2 linked regions of the Alligator mississippiensis genome follow. The protein of the gene in region 2 purifies or fractionates together with the protein of the main gene of each other region. This does not show direct contact. Links are inferred from orthologs where the notes say so. Each region holds a gene or a part of one and is shown on either strand. Other genes may lie near its edges.

Region 1 (11,380 bases), on a different chromosome or scaffold from region 2:
AGTGGAGTGTAACATTTAAAATTATTAATTAAATATAAAATGCTGTTAAAACTATTTTATTGTAAAATAAAAAGGTATCTAGCTGACTTCCCATGTTCCCGTGAAAACTAGATGTTATGAGCCATAATTTTCCCTTAAAACTATGACCTTTTCTATTTTTTCCCCTTTGTAACAACTTGTGTTAAATTATAGGCAATTGCATGTGCCCAATTTATCCAAAAAAAACTTAATCCCACACATTAACCCTAGCTGGGCATGTTTACATATGCATTAACTAAAGCAAGTTAATGCACATTAAATTTAGTACCTCTGGGCATTTGTAAACATGCTTGTGCCACAGCGCTCGGTGCTTTTAAAAGCACCTGGTGCTGCCACACGTGCCATTGTATAAGCAGCGAAACACACGTCAGCACTAAGAAAATGGCGGCGGTGCGCTTTTGAACTAAAACACCTTTGATGTGTTTTAGTTCAAAAGTGCACTGCCACCATTTTGAGTGCTGGCACACATTTTGCTGCTTATACAACTGCATGCGAAGCAGCACAGTGTGTGTTAGCTTGCATGTCGAGCAGACTTGATTAATTGAGTCTTCTCTGATGCGCAGGATTTTGTCCTGTGACACATTGGAGAAGGTAAGTGTATAAATGTCCTCCATTGCAAGTAGATGCACACCTATAATGCACAGTGAATATGTACATGTAGATGTGCCCCGTTCTTTAAATTTCCTTTTCAGTGGGTGCGTCTACACGAGCTTTAAAGCACATTAGCCTGTCTTAATGCACATTAACTAAAGAACAGTTTAAGTGGCATTTAATGAGCATTAATTAAAAAGCATGGTTTTAGTGACACTTTAATGCACATTAAAATAGGTTACTTATGCATGCCTGTACTGCACATTAAATATGGCCACTTGCACCAACTTGAGTATAAGTTTGATACCCGCATCATGCAGGCATCAGATTCATGTGCGATTAGTTTCTGCACTGTAACACATCTGTAGACTTTTTAATGTATGGTAACACTGTGTGTGGACTGACATGATAGAGAGAGAGAGTGTTCCGACTATGAGTTGTTTACTGCTTCCCATCAATGTCTCTCAGTATCAGAACACCCACTTAAAATTAATAGCAATAATGAAGTCCCAAAAGAAGTCTCTGGTACCTCTCTCTTGAGAGATGACAGACAATCTGCCAGACCAGACAAAATGGCTAGAGGCAGTAAGAAACCATTCAGAACTGAACTGCTGTTATGGTTATCAAACTCACAGCACATCTATCAGAATGGACAATGCTCAATCCACTTTTAATTTTTACTCTGAAACCAAGGCCCAGAATGAAACTGATTTATCCCTGACTAGTAGGACTTTTCCTTGACAGTGCCAGATGTGTGCTCATTCTTCCTTGCTAGCAACCCTATGTGAAATCAGTGATTTTCTGGAGGAAAGGAAGACTAACAGAACAGAAAATAACTAGCCAACATCAGTCAAATGCAGATGATCATCACCAACACCCTCAAGAATCATCTTATTCCAAAGTATTCCTTCAGAGGAGTTCAGTTTCAGTTTAGAGTATCATATGCTGTCCAGTCCAAAGCTCAGTGACCTCCTCATCCTTGTTGTCGTAAAAGAAGACTGTTGCATGAGAATGCCAACTATTTTTATTTCAAATGCTTGAGAAAGTGAATTTTGACCACCAATGTATTTTCTCCATTATGCTTTTCTATGGTGATCTTCATGAAGGCTCTTCTATGCAAAGCATTTCCCAATTGCTTGGAGATACCTCAAGAGGTCTTTATCTAGCACCCTTACAACTGCAGATGTGTCTTACTTATCAGAGTAGGAAATTGAATTGAATTAAATCAAATTGAATTAAACACAAAATTCTTAATGTTCACTGGCATTATTTTGCTAGTCATCCTATAAATGGACAAGTCAATTTTGCATCTTTATATTTCCATGTACTGTTTCAATGGAGTTACACCAGGCAAAAAAAACAATTTACAGGAGATTTTGACTTATTAAAGCTCAATTCTGCTGTCAGTCAAAAGAGGTACAAGAGTTCCTGTGGACTACAATAGAAGTCTAAAGCTACATAGCAGCAATTCCATGTTGCCAAGTCCAAAGCAATGTCCCTAGAAGATCCAGAGGCCCCTACACTCCTCCTTAACTCCAGGATGGCAGGTCCCTCCAGGATTACAAAATTTAAAAAACAAAACAAAAACCCACAACCAACAGGCAAAGAAAGATGACATGAACAGCAACAAATGTGTTCTTCATAGAAAGTATAGGGAGAAGAAATGGGGAGATATTTTTTGGATAAGCAAGCCATTAACAGTTTCTAAAAGTTCCTGTTCATATCCAAAGCATTTGGTATTTCAAGTCATGTAAGTTTTGCCCAACTTCAGAAAGTAGGCTTCGTTGTAACCATAGCGCTAAGAGAGTGGTTTTCCCCTCTGTACTTTTCAAGCTACCATAGGAAGTTAAGGACATCACTATTATCCACACTAAATAGGAAGTAGGTGAAAAACAATAAAACTGAAATATACAAAAGATATTTTAAAGCTTCTCCACTGCCACACAAAGACCAATCATACAACCAAGAACAACTTACAAGATTTTTTTTTAAGTACCCATTAACAAATTTTGATCTTTCTAGACACACATCATTGCAATAGGCATACAACTTCACAGATACCCTATTAACTAGCCACAGTAACAAACTACACATATCTTTCCAGAGTGCAAAATCATGGAGCTTCAGCTCTACAGGTCAGATAACCCACCAGTCTTCCTAAATTATCAAAGGTTACAAAACACCAGAAAGCAAGAAATTTAAAAAGAAATTATCCAGCAAGTTTTCAAACTCCCAGGTCCCCTGCTATAACTTCAGGAAAAAACAAGTCAATAACCAGCTTCATGCCTAATATCTACCGCAGGTGTAGTAAGTAAGAGTTCATTGGGGCCAGAGGCTTTCACTAACCCCGTTTGTGGTCAGTGCCAGGTGTGTAGAACCCCCACCCCCTCATCATAATGACCAAGTGTGCCTCTCTCTCTCCTTTCTCCCAGAGTTGCATGTTTTTCCTTCCTTGTTTTCAAATGAAAGAATATCTTATTTGCATTTAGATTTTTTGGTTTTTCGGATACTATCTCTATTTTATGCCTTCCTCAGTTGCATTAGCTTCACATTGTAAAGCCTTATCTTAGAAAGTTCTGACAAACATTCATTACGGGAGTCCTTTAAATTTTGACAATGCTAATACTAAAAACCTTTTATTTGCATTTCAATCATGCTTCTTTGGGTTTCCACAGCAGAATCTGATTTACAGGTTTAGCAGGTGTAAATTACCATAGCAAGTAGGCAATGGCAAATTTACAGCAGTGGAGGCTCTGGCCCTCTGTTTCTCTTTATAGGTTGCAGTCACTATACCCTTGTCCATATTTGAGGACTGCAGCAGTTACCTTTATTTAAAAATCAACCTACTTAAGCTGTTGCAAACTCTTAATACCTAAACTGGTTTAATCCATACTTAAGTCACTTCAGTTTGTGATGGAGAGATACATACATCAGTCTATCTTAAATTGGTAAGCAAGGGCTAAACTAGTTTGTATTGGTTCAAAACAAGGATGCTACAGCACCCTGACATCCTTTCAAGGATGACATGGAGTGCCACACAATGTTGGTATTGTTAATTGTGCAAACATGATTCACAAGATAAACACAGAGATTTCAAATGAAAATCCATAATGTCAAAACCATTTTGACCTGTTGTGGTCTTTGAGTTCTTTGCAACAGAAGAATTGCTCTATTCTTTTTCCATACTCAAAAAATGAGTGAAAATTAAGAGCTGGCATGCGGTGCCTTGAGTCTAACAAGAGTTACCTTGAGTCTCGAAGAAGGTTGAGAAGTTTGCATTTTGTAAGCATCTCTCTATACTTGCCTACTTCATTGCATTAGAATCATTTTCTAGAATTTTGCACTACCAGGATGTCTAGACATCTAACTTATTGCAATTTTAAACCTTCATCTCAGTGAGCAGTAAATCCAGTTGCTAGGGTTTTGCTTAAGATTTTGGACGGATCTTTGAGGAATGCTATCCTGGAGTGTCTTTTTTTTTTTTAAATCTGAGACACATAATTAAACCTGTTAGTCTGAAATTAAGTAGAAGGCCGGGCAGATTTGCATGTTATAGACTAACAGAAGTGTGTGTGTGTGCATGCACGTGTGTGTGCATGTATCGCGCACACATGTGTACACACATGTATATACACACGTATATACACATGCACACACATGTATATACACAGGCAGACAAGGTTCCTTGGGTGAATTTGATATCTTTTATTAGACCAACCCAAATGGTTGGTGAATAGTTATTAAGCAAGCTTTCGGGTTCAAAAACCCTTCGTCAGGCTAAGGAAGCTTCTTCAGCAGTTGGTGTGTGCTCTTCCTGGATGGTGTATATACACATACATTTATATCTATATATAGATATATATCTACACTTATACACACATACAGTAGAAAGCTTGTGCTTGCTATCTATACGTGTGTATGTATATATATCCACTTACATACACATATACATAGATAGCACAAGCTTTCCTGAGCTGAAGTTCACTTCAACCAATGTTGTGAAAGGAAGTGCAACAAGCAGTGTAGGAGAAAGAACATTTTTTCTCCTTTTCTTCTTCTACACTGCTTGTTGTATGTCCTTTCACACCATTGGTTAAAATTAGCTTCATCTCATGAAAGCTTGTGATTATACTTACAAACAAAACATGAAAATGTGCCCCTCAACCTCAAGAAAGCAGGATCTTAGGGGTGGCAGAAACCTCTAGTTGTATTTGCTTCCCTCCCTGCCATTTCTCTTTATAGGTTGCCGTCACTATTGCCTTGTCCATATTTGAGGAGTGCAGCCATTCAGTTATGTTTATTTAAAATCAATCTACTTAAACTGTTCCAAACCCTTAATACCTAAAATGGGAAAAACACAGGAAAAGGGCAGAGCAACTGCAGGTGCTTCCTCAGCATGACGAAGGGTGATTGTGTCTGAAAGTTGCAAAGAAGAATTTTTCCAACTGTTTGAGTGGGTCTAATAAAAGATACCAGATTCACCCAAAGAATCTTGTCTGCCTCTGTCCTTAGACCAACACGGCTACAACCTACACCCCTGCAACATGGCAGATATATATACACACACACACACACACACACACACACACACATGTATGCACACATGCATACATACGCCCACACACATACATGTGTATGTAGATCTGTACGCATGTATACACACACACACATATACGCATACAAATATACACATATTTGTAAGCCTATATGTATGCATGTATATATAGCTAAGTGTGTGTATGTATGTATCGATATCTATCTATATAGCCATATGTATGCCTGTATCCATATCTTTTGGGGTGTGTATACATGTGCATGTGCACAGTCATCTGCATACGCACCTGCGTAGCCATAAGTATACACACACACCCCGGGGTTAGTCTATACGGTGCAACTCTCCGGAGCCTCCTGTCCCAGAGCGGTGCCCGGAAAGCTGCAAGCCCTGCCGCGGCTCTCGACTCATGTTCTGGGAAGGGGGCAGCCAACACCGCTCCGGGGCTCCTTCCCGCTTCCGACCTGGGTTCTCGGGGCTGGGGGCGAGGAGAGGGAGCCTCCGCGGCCGCCCCCCACGCCTCTCGTCCCGCCTTGCAGCCCCCGGCGCCCGTCGAGCCCGCGGGGCGGGCGCGGGACGCGGCAGGGCAGGGCAGGGCAGGGCAGGGCGGGGCGGGGCGGGGCAGGAGGGAGGGGGAGGGGAGGCGCTGGACTGCTCCAGGGACTCGCCCGCATTTAAGGCGGGGCAGTGCGCGGCGTGTCCTTCCTGCGTCCCGAGCCCCGCTGCAGCTGTCGGACCCCTTTGGCTCCTGCAGCCGCTAGGATGCCGGTGAAAGGAGGCATTAAGTGTATCAAGTACCTGCTCTTCGTCTTCAACTTCATCTTCTGGGTAAGGGGCACCCCAGAGCGGAGGGAGGGTCCAGGGGTTGGGCTCCCTGCCTTGCAAACTCGCCTCACCGGAGCCCTGGCTGGGCTGGGCTGCCCCCCCCGCGCGCTCTGCCTCAGGCTGGAGGTGGCTCCGGGCGGGGGGACGAGGGGCCCCAGGGAGCGGAGCCTGGAGCCGAATTGGGTGGGAGGAAGTAGCCTGCACAGCCCCTGGAGCTGCCGAGCAGTGCCAGCTCCACAGGTGCCTGATGCCATGCAGGGGGCTGCACCCTGGTTGCAAAGTGAAGTGGGGCAAGCTAGTTTTGCAGCCTCTTTAAGAGAGGTGCTCCGCACCCCAGGAGTCCTGTCCTGCCTCTGGAAAGTCCCCATCCCGCAAGGCTTTCTCCTCGCCCTCCCCAGGGCTGGCTCAGCTCTCTCGCTTTTCTCTCTTGTGTTGGCATCAAGGCTTCTTCTCTGTCTGCCAGAGACAGGAGCCACTCTGCTTTCTGCTTCCCTGGGTCTCGGGGGGGCCCTGCTACCTGTTGCACACCTTGCACCCTTGACTGGCGTGAAACTTGCACTGCCCTTGCTTGGTTTGCTAAGCAAAATGCAGCGATAAGTGTCCCGTTTTAAATGTGGCCCGGCCACACCTGCCACGTCGGATCAAAGTGACTCTCCCAGCTCTGAAGATGTTAGTAGTTGGTGCCTGAAAACTCGTTTGGGACCACCTTTTGTTTGAAGCTGGGCCTTTGGGCAGAGGTGTGAGGGCCTGCCTGAAGTTCAACCCTGACTCCCCCTCCCCAAGGTGTCTGGGCTGCTCTGGAGGATAATCTTTGAGGCCCCTTCCAACCCTGTGATTTAGGGCTATTTATTTATTATTGCTATCTTTTTTTAACGCTGTTTCACTTCCTTGTTCCTGCTCTTCTATAGGGCAGCATAACGTGGCATAGCTTTGTTTTCAATCTGGGAACACACTGAAGATGTACGCAGGTTCCCCCAGCAATGCAGGCGCAACATGGAGTCCAAGAGTTTGTTCCTGAGAAGTTAAACTCTCTCTCGGCGAGACTTAGCTGGTTGAGTTCTTGGATTTCTTTTTATGTGCCTTCTTTTAAAGCGATGTGCTAAGATGCCTTGCAAAAACAGGATGAGACAACAACTGTTTTTGCCTCTGGCCACACCTTTTTTTCTGTTTAGTCTGAATTCAGTTGAAGCGCTCTGTGGTGTTTTGCTGGTAGGACCTTCCTTTGCAGCTGTTGGGATTCCTCTCTGACATGTTTAGAGGTGCAGACCTTGAGTGCAGGAAGTCTCAAATGGGTTGAACTCCATGGAGCACAGTAACAAATTGAGGCAGGTCTTCAACCTAGCGCTGCACAACGCAAGGGCCGTCGGTAATATCTGAAAAAAGTTGTGAGATTAGTTGATTGTTAGGCAGAAGGTGGGGATCTCGTAGACTAAATTGTTCAGAGAAGGAGACTTTAGGGGTAGCTTCATCAAATTCTTTTTATCCCTTTGAGTATTTAGAGGGATCAACTGTATTTCTATCTGTTTGCACTGCTAGGTAAAAGTCTGTCTATGGCTGTAAAATAACAGTGAGGAACTGGCTACCAAGGGAAAGTAATAGATGCTTCTGCGGACTCTCTTTAAACATCTGGCAAAGTCAAGTTATGAATCGAAGGCAGTTGCTTCTGGGTACATCCAATAGTATGTGTGAGCAGGTGTCTGGGGATGTGGCTTGTTTGTTGTTTTTCGTGTGTGGTTTTTTTTGTTTTTTTTTTTTAAATCTACTTCCTATGCCAGCTTCAGAGAAACATCTTTATGAAGTATTTTAAAAGAAGTGATTTATAGTAGGTCTGTGAAAAAAGGGTATTTACTTAGAGTAAAGGTGGTTTTTAAAGAGGATATGGGAAGGCCACATGGTCCATAGCATTCTGAGTAGTATACCATTACTAAGATCTTATTTACAGGCTTGAATAAATGGGTGCCTTAGGCCCAAATGGTAAATTTTAGCCCTGTAACCAGCCAAGGCAGAGCACTCAAGGGAACTCTGTGAAAAGGGAGAGGCAGAGACTGTAGGAAGCAAAGTATGTACAAAAAAGCAAAGGTTTTTGCATGTACTGTATTTGCTAAACATTAACTTTTGTGTTTGGGGGAAGGGAAGCTGTTTCCTAGGCTAATTCTTATCCCAGGCCTATGTAGTCAAACTTATGGTGTCTTTGCTCGCAACTGGAATGGTATTTACCTGAAGGCTAGATGACTTCAATAAATGATTCTTCATGTGGTTCTTTGTCAAAACCACTTGGATTCGGCAGCAAACTTACAGTGCAGCACTCTGTTTACTCAGCAGTGCTCTGCTATGATCTGCAACTTGCACAGGCTGCTAACTTTGTGAATGCAGTTGAAATGTCTATAATTGGTAAGCAGCTGAAATGCTACTGAGAATATCTTTGCCAATGGTGCCAGAACAGCTGTGAAAGGAGCTCTCCCTTAGTTCTTGGAGCATTAATCTAAGTTTAGTGACTAAGGATTAGCTCTAGGCCTAGACTTTTTATTAGATTGTTTCTTGTTCTTTTCTTAAAAAGAAAAATAAAAAAAAAAAAAAAAAGCACTGAAATGTGTGCTGGTTGGTTGGGGATATAGGATAAGAAAAAGAATGGTGTATATTTTAGAGTAAGTTTGGTTTATAAATGCAATTTGGCCTGTCAAGATGAGATAAATATTTGGGAGTTGGGAAGGCAAAGGAGAGGATGGTGCTCAAGACTTGTTTGCCTTCCCTCCAAGTTGACCTTCATCTGATGAGGTCAAGGTAAGCTATTGCTGAAAACTCTCTAAAGCTGGAAACTGGCACATAGACACTCAATCATAGCATCAGATTTCAGCTAGCCTGGCTTATTCTTATTAATCTTAAATTTCCAGCCTTAGCTACTTATTTATGTACAGTACCTGTGGCAACTGCAAATGCATTCCCTGCATATAGGGAGGCAAGGATTAGCTAACTACTGGAGGTGATAGTCAAGAAATTTTTTTTTTTTTTAAAGGTTTAAGTGGTTACATGGCCAACAATTTATTTACTCAATCTATCACATGTAGTTCTATTCTAGAACTTTATTACTTCGACTCTTGGCCTTACTCAAGGGGTTACTACGTCACCTTGAACCTTTGAAGTGACCTGAATCTGTCCCCACCTCCAGGCAAAAGAATTTCTGGAGAAACTTGCACTGCGCTTGCTTGGTTTTTTTGCTAATCATGATGGTGTTCTGTTGTGCATTGATGCCAATTGTGAGCTTCCTTCCACCACTCCCTTAATTTTTGGCTTTGTCCCTGTTCAAAATTGCGTCCTAATTTAATTTTAAAACTTTGTTTTTATTTAATGAAGTCATTTTTCTTTTAAGAGTATGTGGGCCCCGTTTAGACTGGTTTAATGAACTTGGCTTAACTTGGTAAGGAATTAAGTAAGAATCATATAAAACGGGTTCAAATTGGAATTCAGAGAACCTCCACTGAGTATTACATTAATTTAGTTAACTAACACTTCTAGTCAAATAGTTGCAACTTCAGCCTGAAGGACATGTCTGTTTCTTACTGATGATATGAGGGCATGTTCCACTTCACTATGTTTAAACAGCCTCTTTTAAGCTACTTGTTACACATGTCCAAGCTTAATCTCCTCCTTTCCTTATCCGGGCTTGGTTAAGTTTCTTATGTGCTGAGCCTGGACAGTTGGAATGGAGCTGAGGAGCTGCTTACTACAGGGCAGTAGTTCTTAATCTTTTTTTTTTTCTTGAGGCATTCATTAGAAAATGTCAGCTTAGTTTTTGTTTGTGTTTGGCTTTGTTTTTGTGAAGGTACGAGGAGGAAGCTATATAGAACTTTCAGCCAGTTGTTCAGCTGTACATTACCTTTGTGGCTTCTGAAACTGCAATAAAGTCATGATTTGGGGTGGGGGGGAGAGATATATTACTTGACTGAAAGTTCTGGTTAAATGTCTCTTTCTCTGGACCTTGCCAAGTATTTGGATATGGGATTGGGGGGGGGGAGAAAAGGCTTTTAAGTTCACATTTTATTTGTATTACTAGGTCTCTAATTTCTCCCTAGTTTATAGCTTCAAATTGGTAAAGTGTGTTACATGGAAGTTGCATACTCTCCTGAAAAAAGTTCAGGGCCCTATTAGTTTTAGTGTGGAAACAAACTAAAGTGCAAAACCTAATAAGTAAAATGCCATCAGCTCGCCATCCAGTGCGCAAATCAAAGCTTAAGTGTTATGACTGGGCTAAGCTCCTTCAAGATCTTTGGTCCTAGTGACTGCCTCCAAGTCAAATTTTGACTAGTGCTTGTGTAAAACATTCACAATAAGATTAATGATTTCTCTTTGCTTTGTTTGTTTGTTTTGTTTTTTCCTTTTTGGAAGAGATTTGTGCGCCACTGGATCCTTTAAACATGTATTCAAATGTGGGGTGGTCCAGCTGGCTGACTTCAGGCCATTCAGCTGAGTAGAAGTAAATTTACAGTCTTATTTCTTTAGCGTTTTGCCTTTTCCCCTAGAACAGTTTAGGAGTACTTTTATAATGCTGCCACTAGTAGACATTGTATTTAAATGTGCCTTCTTAATTAGATTAAGATGATGGCTCTTAAAGTTTGCAGTGATGTAAGAACTGCCACTTACTGGGTCACACCGTAGATCCGTCTTGCTCAGTATCCTGTCACAGTGATGGAGCGGATGCTGAAAGGAGGAGTGAACACTTGATAAAGTTTTTACAAATCCTCAACTTGATCCAAGTAGAGAGAGAATCTACTATTTTTTTAATAGCTTTATCTTGAAGTGCTGTAAATATGTGAATATATTGTAAACCAGGATATCTTGTTTTGTGTAGGAACAAAACTGTTCATATGTGGTCCATGATTCCAGCAAGACTGAAGTTAGACACAGAATGGACCCTTTAGGTCTGTGCTGCCTTGGGTAAGCTTAGTGTTCCAACATCTCAGGCTGGTTTATTTTTCTTTGAGCCATGTGGTCAAAGCTAGGGCATACTTTTGTAAAGCCATTTCTTGCAAAGGTTGGTTTGGGGAGGTGGGGGAATATTTCTTGCTGAAGAGATGCATCCAGTGTGAACAAACAAAAAAAACCCAACACCTTCTCTTAATTGTATAATACTCAAGGCTATTGACTTTAAAAAAATGGAATCAAAATAAAGATTAGCTGTGAACTTGGGGTCATCATAAAATGTGTTGTAAAATCAAGGGTGCAGTTGGTGGGGCTGCCTGATGTGAAATACCTATATTTATAGTTCTAGCAGTTCTAACTAGTTTGTAATTTATATAAACCCAAAATTAGTAGACTGACTTCTGAACAGCAGCTTGTATAAAATGGCCACTGGCCTTGGCTGTGGTTCAGGAATTC
Region 2 (11,689 bases):
GCTGCTATCCCTCTGACCCACAGCTGGACTCCCACTATGGCCAGAGTTGGGGCAGAGCATGCCCTGCATTGAGCCCCCCATTGGTCCCTGCAGCCTGTGGCATAGGGGCTCAGCCAGAGGGCTATGGAGGGAGCCCCAGAATGCCCCTGGAGGGGCTGCCCCCTGGCCTCGTGCCCCCCTCCCCCAGCCTGGTGCTAGCTCCCATCCGGCTGCTGTTTGCTTTCAGCACATGACACATCTCTGTGGGGGTGGGGGAGCTGCTGCAGTCATGGGACCAGGATCCATCCCAGGCACCGCCCAGGCAGGAGGTGGGGTAGCTGCCAGCTGAACCCAGTAACAATGACCCCTGGCTGGGGCAGGGATTGTGTGTACAGCACCTGGCACAGAGGAGGTCGTGAACCAGGGGCCTGGGGTGATCCAGGGTCAGCTGTACCAATAACCCACCCAAGACCAGACCTTTGTATGGGTGCAACTGCTGCCTGAATGGAGGTGGCCTCGCCTCACCCTGTGTGGGGAACCGTACCTTTCAGCGCCACCTTGCTACTGTAGCTGCCGTGGTACTGGGAGTCGGTGGAGGGAGTGTAACACTCGTAGATGCCATCATCCTCGGGCTGGAGGTGGGCAATGCGCAGCTCCACGGCGTCCCCACGGAGCCGCTGCATGGCCACATCACCGCTCTGCACGCGGGAGCTGAAGACGGCGTAGGGGAAGGCGGGGTCCTTGGTGCTGATGATGCCGATGGCAATCGTGGGTGCAGCTGAGCGGTACACGGACCACTCGAAGTGCTGCAGTGTGGAGCCCTCATACTCTGTCACGTGGCAGGGGATGGCCACGGCTGTGCCCTCTACCCGCAGCAGGGGCCCTGGCGGCACGTGCACCTCCCGCGCTGTGCTCAGCCCTGCGGAGACAGAGCAGTCAAGCTTGGGGGCACGGGTGGGGCTCTCTGCACCAGGCCGGGGCCACAGACCTCTACAGCCCCCTCCCTGCCTGCAGCTCAACCCCTGCCACGTATCACCTGGGGTTGCTAAACTCCAGCCACGCAGCCCCAGGATCCCAGCCATGCATACCCCTCTCACAGTCACATACACTGCCTGGTCCCAGGTCCTCCCGTGCATTACCCGCCCCCCCATTCCCACATACAGCTCTGGGCCCCACATCCCACCCATGCACAGTGAGGTGGGAACCCAGGAGTCCAGCTCTAGGGATGGCAGGTGTCCCACCCCTGCCGGAGGGGTCTCCACTGCGCTACTGCCCCTGCTCCGCACTGTGAGGGAGCCAGCACTGCCCTGGGAAAGGCAGAGCAGCCCTGAGGCAGCTGTAAAATACAACAGCTTCCAGAAAAGCCCTGGGGCAGGGAGGAGGTGAGGCCCAGGCTGGGCTGTGAGGCACCCTGTGGTCACCTTAGACCTTTCCTTGCGAGCATGTCCTTCTCCTGCTGCACCCTGGGGCAGGGCCAGTCCAGCTGCCCACCCTGTTGCATGCCCGCACCCTGTAGGGGCCCAGGCCCTGAGACGTTAAGGTGGCCCTGCCATCAAAGACAATACTCAGGCCTCCCTGGGACCAGGTCCCTGGGCAGCAGCCGGGAGCAGCAGACCTAGATGGCGCTGCCAGCCTGGGACCCAAGCAGCGGTACCAGCACCCAGGGTCCGGCACCAGTGGGATTACAGGGCCATGCCAGGGCCCCTAGCCCCATGACCCAGCCCAGCCAACCCTCATGTGCAGGGAAACCTGAATGGAGAGAGCCCATCACCACCCCCCATTGCATCTCCAGCTGCCCCCACCCACCGCAGGGCTGTGGCTAAACCCAGGCCCCAGCTCCGCAACGCAGGGGCCCGCAGTACCAGGCCCATGCACCCATTCCCAAGTGCTCCCCTCTTTGCCAGCCCCTGCCCTATGCGACGGGCAGGCGACCCGTGGGCAGCCCACAGAGGCACAAAGGCCCTTTCTCCCCCTGGTTGCACAGCTGGATCACGCTCTCCAATCTGGGTCAGGCCACAGCGGGGGGTGGGGGGCTGGGATGGCGCAGCCTGGCGAGGACAGAGGTCACACATGCTGCTGCTCAGCACGCAGCTCACGCCGTCAGGGTGGCTGCGTGGAGCAAGGGGACATGCCCTGCGCCATGGATCAACCCCCCACCCCCACTTCCATTCAACCCAGAGCTCCCCTGACAGAGAGCACCCAGCGATCCCTGGCCCAGACTGGGCCACTGTAGCACCCACAGCTGCAAAGACTGGGAGGGGCAGCTGGGGGGGCACGGGCAGAGTGCCAGATGGGGGGACACCCCATACCCACTCCCCAGGCACCCCTAGCACCTCTGCTTAACTCTGCCATCCTGGGGAAGTGGGGGGCAACCTTAAAAGTGGGAGTCCCTTGCCTCCAGGACACGGCCAAACCCAAGTTTTTAGAGCCCGTCTCCCTGAATGGGCTTGCAGGGGAAAGGCAGAGGTGTGGGCAAGGCAGGGGACCAGGGAAGTGGGGTGCATGAGCCAGGGGCATTGGGGGACCTCTTGCCTCCCATGTGAGACCATCACAGTGAGATGCAGCTTGCACAGACAGCTCCCTGCGCTGGGCACTGTGGGGGAGGGGGCAGCAGATGGCTGTGGTGGGAAGGGCACAGATGGCGTTGCTGGCAGCGCAGGGGATGTATGGTGGGGGGTGGCATCAGCCTTGTCACTGGCACCTTCCCCCGCGCCATCACCAAGTGGGTGGCAGTGCCCTGGGCTGTTCTCCGGCTGCCGCTGTGGCCCCAGTGCTGGTGTCAAGCACAGCTGAGAGCAGAGGCAGGGAGCAGGCGTGCTGGCTCCAGCTCCCACAGGCACCTGCAATGGCACAGGCTGCAGCAGAGCTGCTTAGGGCTGCAAATCCGGAGCTTACGGGCGGCTGGGCCCAGCGCTCCCCGAGCCGTGCTGGGTCCAGGCTGGTCCAGCCCAGGTGCCAGAGCCTGCCCCGGCCCCAGGCACCGGCCACGGAGCAGGGCCCAGGGAACCAGGGCCCTGAGCGCAATAGAGCACCCGCCACCTCCTTCACCCTGCCCCAGCGTGGCTCTGCCACTAACCCCCCTACCCCTGCCAGGCCTCTGCTCCCCACGGGCACAGGTGGGTTCATGCCCTGCTTTCCCCTGCACCCTTTCAGCCCACTTCCCTGCAGGGAAGGGCACCCTGACCCCAGTGTAGCCACCAGCACATGCCCCTGCCGCAGGAGAGTTATTGCAGACGGAGCAACCTATCTCAGTCCCCCTCCGACATGCATGCACACGCAACAGGGGAGAGAAAGTGCAGAGAAATGGTACAGAGACAGCCAACCCGCCCGCCTGCCCAGCGCCCTGTGCACACTCTCCCCCCTCCACCTGGCTCTCTCCCCAGCTCCAGCTGCCACCTCCCCTTCCTGCCCCACTGGGCTCCAGTCCAGCCAGTGTCCCTGATCCATCTCATACTGGGATGGGGGGGGACAGGCCCGGCCCAAGGACTGCAGAGGAGCTGACAGAGGCCAGGCCCAGAAAGAAGGGGGAGCTGGCCGCCGCCCTGCCCGATTCTTTTTCCATAGTGAGCTCCATTCCCGCCCATCCGTTTCAACACTGCCTGGAGCCAAAAGGCAGGAGTGAGTCACCTTCCTTGGCACAAAACATTGGCTCCAGGGCCAGAAAGCCTTGGCAAAGCCCCACAGCCACCTCCCTCAGCCCCTGGCCCTGAACTAGAGGCAGAGAGGCAAGGGAAGTCCAGGCTCTGGCTGGCATGGGGGTACAGGGAAGGGCAGGGGCAGGGCACAGAGGTTGAAGGTGGGGGGAGGCTGGGGCCTGAGCCACGGGCACAGCAGCTGCCTGCAGCTGGATCTCCAGGGCTGCCGGGTGGCACTGCCCCATGCGGGGGAGGGGGGGGGGGACGACCCTGCTACCCCATGTGGGTCAGCTCTGGGATGTGCCTGGTGGCCTCTCCCTGCCCCCAGTGCCCTCGGGGCACAGCCAGGCCTGGGGGCAGCATAGGGAGACAAGGAGGGGGCACTGGAGCAGTCTGGGGACGGTGGCAGCGGGGCTAGGAGGGTCCAGAAGGGAGGGGGGAACACTGGGGTTACGAGTCAAGGCACCTGCCAGCTTTGCTACACATGCACACCCATGTGGGGGTGTGCACACCTCCCATGCACACCCACCAACCCCCCACAACATTCACACAGAAACACCCACACCATGTGCACACACACGCACACACACACACACACACATGTGCACCTGCACACCCACACACACATACATATGCCTGTATGCCCCCATGCATGCGCACACACACGCACCCGTGCCTCTACACCCCCATGCATGCACGCGCGTACACACACACACACACACACACACACACACGTGTACCTCCCCATGCACTTGCAAGCGTACATATGAAGTGGGTGTACACCCTCATGTGTGTGCACACACACATAAAATGGGGACACCCCCCCAATGCATGCACACACAAACGCGGAGATGCGGGTGTACAACCCATGCATGCACGCGCGCGCGCACACACAGACGCGGGTGCACGCCATGCACGCGCACACACACGTACAGCTGCGCACCCCCATGTACACGCCCCCCCGCACCCCGGAGGCTCCCGCGCTGGCCCGGCCACAGGCGGGAACCCGCGCCCCGGGCCAGGGCCGGGCCGGGCCGAGCTGCACGGGGAGCTCCCGCCCCGCCCCCGGCCCGCAGCGCCCCCGCTCACCGAGCAGCAGCACCAGCAGCATCGGGATGGGGGCCGGGAGCGGGATGGGGGCGCCCCGCGGCAGCGCGTCCCGGGCGGCTCCCATGGCGGCGCGGGCGGCTCCGCTCAGGGAAGCCCCGCCCGGCCCCACAGCCACCGCCACGACCACGGCCCGCCCCGCCCCGCCCCGCCGCAGCCCGGCTCCACCCCCGTCTGCAGCGCCCTGGGCCACCGCGCGGGTCCCGGCCCAGCCCCGCGCGCCCGCGGCGCCCCACACGGGGCCCAGCCCGGCGGCCTGGCACCACCTTCCTCCGGCGTCCAGCACAGCTCCACCATAGCACCCTGCGCACCCACCATCCACCCCGTGTCCAGCACAGCTCCACCATAGCACCCTGCGCACCCACCATCCACCCCGTGTCCAGCACAGCTCCACCATAGCACCCTGCGCACCCACCATCCACCCCGTGTCCAGCACAGCTCCACCATAGCACCCTGCGCACCCAGCATCCACCCCGCGTCCAGCACAGCTCCACCATAGCACCCTGCGCACCCAGCATCCACCCCGCGTCCAGCACAGCTCCACCATAGCACCCTGCGCGCCCAGCATCCACCCCGCGTCCAGCACAGCTCCACCATAGCACCCTGCGCGCCCAGCAACCACCCCGTGTCCAGCACAGCTCCACCATAGCACCCTGCGCACCCACCATCCACCCCGCGTCCAGCACATCTCCACCATAGCACCCTGCGCACCCACCATCCACCCCGCGTCCAGCACAGCTCCACCATAGCACCCTGCGCACCCACCATCCACCCCGTGTCCAGCACAGCTCCACTATAGCACCCTGCGCACCCAGCATCCACCCCGCGTCCAGCACAGCTCCACCATAGCACCCTGCGCACCCACCATCCACCCCGCGTCCAGCACATCTCCACCATAGCACCCTGCGCACCCACCATCCACCCCGCGTCCAGCACAGCTCCACCATAGCACCCTGCGCACCCACCATCCACCCCGTGTCCAGCACAGCTCCACCATAGCACCCTGCGCACCCAGCATCCACCCCGTGTCCAGCACAGCTCCACCATAGCACCCTGCGCACCCACCATCCACCCCGCGTCCAGCACATCTCCACCATAGCACCCTGCGCACCCACCATCCACCCCGCGTCCAGCACAGCTCCACCATAGCACCCTGCGCACCCACCATCCACCCCGTGTCCAGCACAGCTCCACCATAGCACCCTGCGCACCCAGCATCCACCCCGTGTCCAGCACAGCTCCACCATAGCACCCTGCGCACCCAGCATCCACCCCGCGTCCAGCACAGCTCCGCCATAGCACCCTGCGCACCCACCATCCACCCCGCGTCCAGCACAGCTCCGCCATAGCACCCTGCGCACCCACCATCCACCCCGTGTCCAGCACAGCTCCACCATAGCACCCTGCGCGCCCACCATCCACCCCGCGTCCAGCACAGCTCCACCATAGCACCCTGCGCACCCAGCATCCACCCCGCGTCCAGCACAGCTCCACCATAGCACCCTGCGCACCCAGCATCCACCCCGCGTCCAGCACAGCTCCACCATAGCACCCTGCGCACCCAGCATCCACCCCGCGTCCAGCACAGCTCCACCATAGCACCCTGCGCACCCAGCATCCACCCCGCGTCCAGCACAGCTCCACCATAGCACCCTGCGCACCCAGCATCCACCCCGCGTCCAGCACAGCTCCACCATAGCACCCTGCGCACCCAGCATCCACCCCGCGTCCAGCACAGCTCCACCATAGCACCCTGCGCACCCAGCATCCACCCCGCGTCCAGCACAGCTCCACCATAGCACCCTGCGCACCCACCATCCACCCCGCGTCCAGCACAGCTCCACCATAGCACCCTGCGCACCCACCATCCACCCCGCGTCCAGCACAGCTCCACCATAGCACCCTGCGCACCCAGCATCCACCCCGCGTCCAGCACAGCTCCACCATAGCACCCTGCGCACCCAGCATCCACCCCGTGTCCAGCACAGCTCCACCATAGCACCCTGCGCACCCAGCATCCACCCCGTGTCCAGCACAGCTCCACCATAGCACCCTGCGCACCCAGCATCCACCTCGTGTCCAGCACAGCTCCACCATAGCACCCTGCGCACCCAGCATCCACCCCGTGTCCAGCACAGCTCCACCATAGCACCCTGTGCACCCAGCATCCACCCCGTGTCCAGCACAGCTCCACCATAGCACCCTGCGCACCCAGCATCCACCTCGTGTCCAGCACAGCTCCACCATAGCACCCTGCGCACCCAGCATCCACCCCGTGTCCAGCACAGCTCCACCATAGCACCCTGCGCACCCAGCATCCACCCCGCGTCCAGCACAGCTCCACCATAGCACCCTGCGCACCCAGCATCCACCCCGTGTCCAGCACAGCTCCACCATACCACCCTGCGCACCCACCATCCACCCCGCGTCCAGCACAGCTCCACCATAGCACCCTGCGCACCCAGCATCCACCCCGCGTCCAGCACAGCTCCACCATAGCACCCTGCGCACCCAGCATCCACCCCGTGTCCAGCACAGCTCCACCATACCACCCTGCGCACCCACCATCCACCCCGCGTCCAGCACAGCTCCACCATAGCACCCTGCGCACCCACCATCCACCCCGTGTCCAGCACAGCTCCACCATAGCACCCTGCGCACCCAGCATCCACCCCGTGTCCAGCACAGCTCCACCATAGCACCCTGCGCACCCACCATCCACCCCGTGTCCAGCACAGCTCCACCATAGCACCCTGCGCACCCACCATCCACCCCGTGTCCAGCACAGCTCCACCATAGCACCCTGCGCACCCAGCATCCACCCCGTGTCCAGCACAGCTCCACCATAGCACCCTGCACACCCAGCATCCACCCCGTGTCCAGCACAGCTCCACCATAGAAACCTGCACACCCAGCATCCACCCCGTGTCCAGCACAGCTCCACCATAGCACCCTGCGCACCCAGCATCCACCCCGTGTCCAGCACAGCTCCACCATAGCACCTTGCGCACCCAGAATCCAGCCCTGTGTCCAGCACAGCTCCACCATAGCACCCTGCGCACCCAGCATCCACCCTGTGTCCAGAACAGCTCCACCATAGAAACCTGCGCACCCAGCATCCACCCCATGTCCAGCACAGCTCCTCTATAGCACCCTGTGCACCCAGCATCCAGCCCCATGTCCAGCACAGCTCCACTATAGCACCCTGCACACCCAGGGTCCCAGCCCCAGCCGCAGCACAGCACCCCCACTGCACTGCAGACCCAGGGCCCTGGCCTCATCTCCAGCCCAGCACCCTGGGCACCCAGGGGTAGTGGATACCCTGGGTGAGCAATCCTCATGTGGGGTGGCTGTTAAATGCTTGCTGGGTCCCACCCCAGAGGTGGCTGCATTGCAAGACCTTGCAGGCCCCTGCAGGCCCTTTCCACCGCTTTGAAGCTCCTAGGCACCATCAATCATCAGGATGCAGTGGGAGGCTGCAGGGATGGCCCCAAGGATCCCTGTGCCAAGAGGGGCAGTTGGGATTACAGAAGGAGAGGACAGTGCATGTTCGTGCCTAGGAGGGCAGGTCACGGGCTGTAGACATGCCTTGGCACTGAGACCACACCGACCGGCAGAGAGCAGACTACTGGCCAAGCTAACACCTAAATTACAAGTGACATGCTGAAGCTGGTGCACAGTTAATAATCACTAAGTTATATTTAAGTCACAACAGTAGCCTACGAAGTAAACTAAAAATGTTGTAGGGAAGCCATTAACATTAAACGAGGCCAAGGCCAAATAGCTGCTGCTTGACTTAAGTCAACCACCGCTATCACCGCCACTATAAGTGACAACTACCCTTTTGCTAACAACCGAGTGATCCGTGGGCAGCTAGGATTTTATTGAAATCACCCTTTATCTTCATTAACCTGTTGTCAGCCCTGGCCATATTCGAGGGGCTGGTGCTCAGCTGCAGACATGAGGCCAGAGAAGGCCACAAACCCTGTCCCAGACCGAGCCTGCCCATTTACAACTGGCTTTGTCAGCAAAGTAAAAGAAACCAAACATGGCAAGAGGGCAGAGGAGCAAAGTCCTCTCTCCCAGGACGGTCCTTTTCACAAGGACACAGGCCCCAGGTAACGTGTCTTTTGAGCCCACAGAAAAGCTGGTTCAGCCTAGTTCCTAAAGCCCAGTCAGACAAACCCACTGCAACAACACCTGGCAGAATATTTCTTTGTGCCGCATATAACTGAGTGGAAACAGGGAGAGTTTGGGGAAGACCGCAGCACGTTCAAAGCAAGCTGCTGCCAGCCTGCATGCCGCTGTCCTCTCTCCAGCTGCTGCAGGTGAGAATATTGTGCTGTTGTGATAAGCATGGAGGGAGGGGCTTATTCTTGTGATTTGGGGTGTAAATCAATAAAAGCTTGGGGTATGGACCTGCTTTCCGCCTCTTTGTCTAACCTGGGTGGTGGCAATACCTGGCCAGCTAAGAGGGAACGGAGGATCATTGGGGAATGTAGTTGTGGCATGATTCAGTGTGCAGAAAGGATAGTCATTAAGTACCTACCTCTGAATCTGTGTCTAAGCTTGCAAAAAAGTCCAGCTGTGAAAGGAAGGCCTGCAGTCTTCTCTCTCTATAGGCTGAACACTACCAGGTTTTTAGTTGTGACTTGGCCCCCAGGACATAGCCATGAGGTCAGGCCTGTGCCTTGGGGGTCTCTAAGATGCTGGTGGGGGCAGAACTGGCCTGCTCCATCTCAGAGCTGCTGGCCTGTGCTGGACCCCCCAGGGCAGCTGCAGGGAGGAGGGGAGCAGGCTGCCAGGGGGGCAAGGAGCTGCCAGTGGCTGGATGGAGGACTCCAAGGGCCAGGGGAGCACCCTCCTGGGGCTAGAGGGAAAAATAAACTGAGGGGGTGGAGGCTGGTGGTGAGAGCAGGGGGATGGGAAGGGGTGGGCCCACACCCCCAGGAGCCCTATGCCAAAAACCACATCAAACCGTGGCTGCCATGGCCTTGATCCATCTCTCCTGCTGTCCCCGGGGCACAATGGCAGGGGGTGTGCTAAGGCCCCGGCATTGCTAGCCCAGTGCCACGGCTGAGAGGGGCGCTATGATCTGGTCTTTTTGGGACATGTGCGTTTGCAGAGCATTGAACATGCCCCTGCCCCTGCCTTGCTCTGGACAGCTCGCAGCCTCCCTGGCTCTGCAGGCCAGTTGCCCCCAGAGCCAACCCCCTTGAGCTGAGCAGAGCAGCCAGACTGCAGCACTGCAGGGGCAGCATGGGCCCCCGCATGCTCCCAGGAGCTGGCTGCATGCCACCCGCTTCTCACCTGGGCATGAAGATGGGCATCACAGGCCCCAGCCTTGCCATGAGAGCAGAACTGGCTCAGAGCCCCATGGCCAGGGGCACAGACCCCCATCCTGGCCCTTGGGCCCAGCTCAGGACTAGGCCCACGGCCAGCCCTGTGAAGGACCCAATCCTGCCCCCAGGAGGGCTGGCCCCAGTGGGTGGTGGGCATAAAACACTGGTGGTGTGCAAGGAGGTCTGTGTGCCACTCACGGGTGCAGGCCAGGCTGGGGCTGGAAGCAGCTCTCTGCCCAGCTGGCCGGCTGCTATCGATCCTGCCCGGGTCAATGCCAATTAATTTCCTGCTTCTCCCCAGAGGATGCCGCTGCTGGGCGGTCGAAGCTGGCGTCTGCTCTTTCCTCCCAGCACTGGAGGGGGTGGGCAGAGCTGGGGTGAGATTCCCCATGTACCCACAGGCTGGAGCAAGGAGGGCAGGAAGGGGCCAGGTGCAATGGAGGGACAGGAGCCAGGAGAGCGCGGCTGGGGTGGGTGAGGGGTGGACACGATGGGGAGGTGGGTTTGGGGGGAGCGGTTGTAAAGGGCATGAGGGGGTTTATGTGGATAGAGGGGGATAGGTGTCTGGGCCGAGCCCTGCTCCCCAGTTCACACTGCGTGGGTTAGAGCAATGGGCCCATGGGGCCTGCTACCTCCCCCCACCCGGCTGAGCCTGAGTTTCCCCAGCCCTGTGCCCCTGGTCTCGCCCACTGCCCCCCTGCCTGCCTGCTGCAGAGCACAGCCCCGGGGCTGAGCATGGCAATCCCTGCCCTTAGCCCCCGGGACCCAGAGCGAAGGACGGTGGGTGTAGGGGTACGGTCATGGCCCTTTGCCCTGTGGTAACACTAGGGTGGGGGGCTGTGCCACGGCATAACCTCACCCCCGCCAAATGGGGACCACGATCCACTGAGCGCCAGGGCCTGAAGCAGCAGGGCGCTACAGCCCAGGGCTGGGGTGAGGGACCCAGGACCTCATGGCAGACACTGACTCCCCCCACCCTGTGCTGCCACCTGGGAGTGTCCACAGTGGAGGGGAACACCCTGGCTCAGCCTCCCTGGATCCTGGAGCCATCCAGCCCTGTCCTGGCAGCCCACAGCTTTTAACTCACAGCAGGAAGGCAGTGGAGGCAAGGTGGCCCAGTGGTTAGGGCGCCAGGCCAGGGTTTGATTACCAGAAAAACACCCTGGTGTGTTAACAGCCCGGCGAGGTGCTTGGACTCCTGGGTCCCACGCTGACTTGCTGTGGGTCATTGGGGCAGCCTTCAGGCCCTGGGCACAGCCAGTGCCCCCTGCTCCCCTGCCAGCCTGTGCAGACCCAGCTGGCTCCTTCAGGCCCCCCAGACCACTGGCTTCCTGGTTGTCAAAGCCATTTGGGCCCTGTGGTCTTGAACCCAGATATGCCAGGTAGTGGCCCCAGGGCTGGGGCATCAGCTATGCTCAGGTCTGCCCCTGTAGCGCTGGTGCTGGGGGTGCGCCAGGAAAAGGGAACAGCCTACTACTGCTGCCAGCACATCCGACTCCTTTGGCTCCCAGGCTCAGCACTGACTGACGGGGTCTTTTGTGAGTAAGTGCAGGGCTCGCGCTGGCTGGGGGCAGGGCCGGGGCAGGGCTTGCAGTCCCTCTACCCCACTGGGGTACTACCCATGCC

What was found.
Region 1: the proteins of IGSF8 (region 2) and CD9 purify together in Homo sapiens (affinity purification with mass spectrometry; 5 studies listed by BioGRID and IntAct, counting the BioPlex papers as one, with this or other methods). This does not show direct contact. The link is inferred for Alligator mississippiensis from reciprocal best matches to the Homo sapiens genes IGSF8 and CD9.

What each region holds. Positions count from the first base shown.
Region 1 is NC_081827.1:140,327,317-140,338,696, reverse strand, and holds the start of CD9 (CD9 antigen), read left to right. Parts: upstream 1-5,859; 5' UTR 5,860-5,944; coding exon 5,945-6,010; intron 6,011-11,380. UniProt on the Homo sapiens protein: Integral membrane protein associated with integrins, which regulates different processes, such as sperm-egg fusion, platelet activation and aggregation, and cell adhesion.
Region 2 is NC_081838.1:20,974,462-20,986,150, forward strand, and holds the start of IGSF8 (immunoglobulin superfamily member 8), read right to left. Parts: upstream 4,835-11,689; 5' UTR 4,789-4,834; coding exon 4,704-4,788; intron 899-4,703; coding exon 524-898; intron 1-523. UniProt on the Homo sapiens protein: Member of the immunoglobulin superfamily (IgSF) that links tetraspanin-enriched microdomains to the actin cytoskeleton and plays several important roles in innate and adaptive immunity.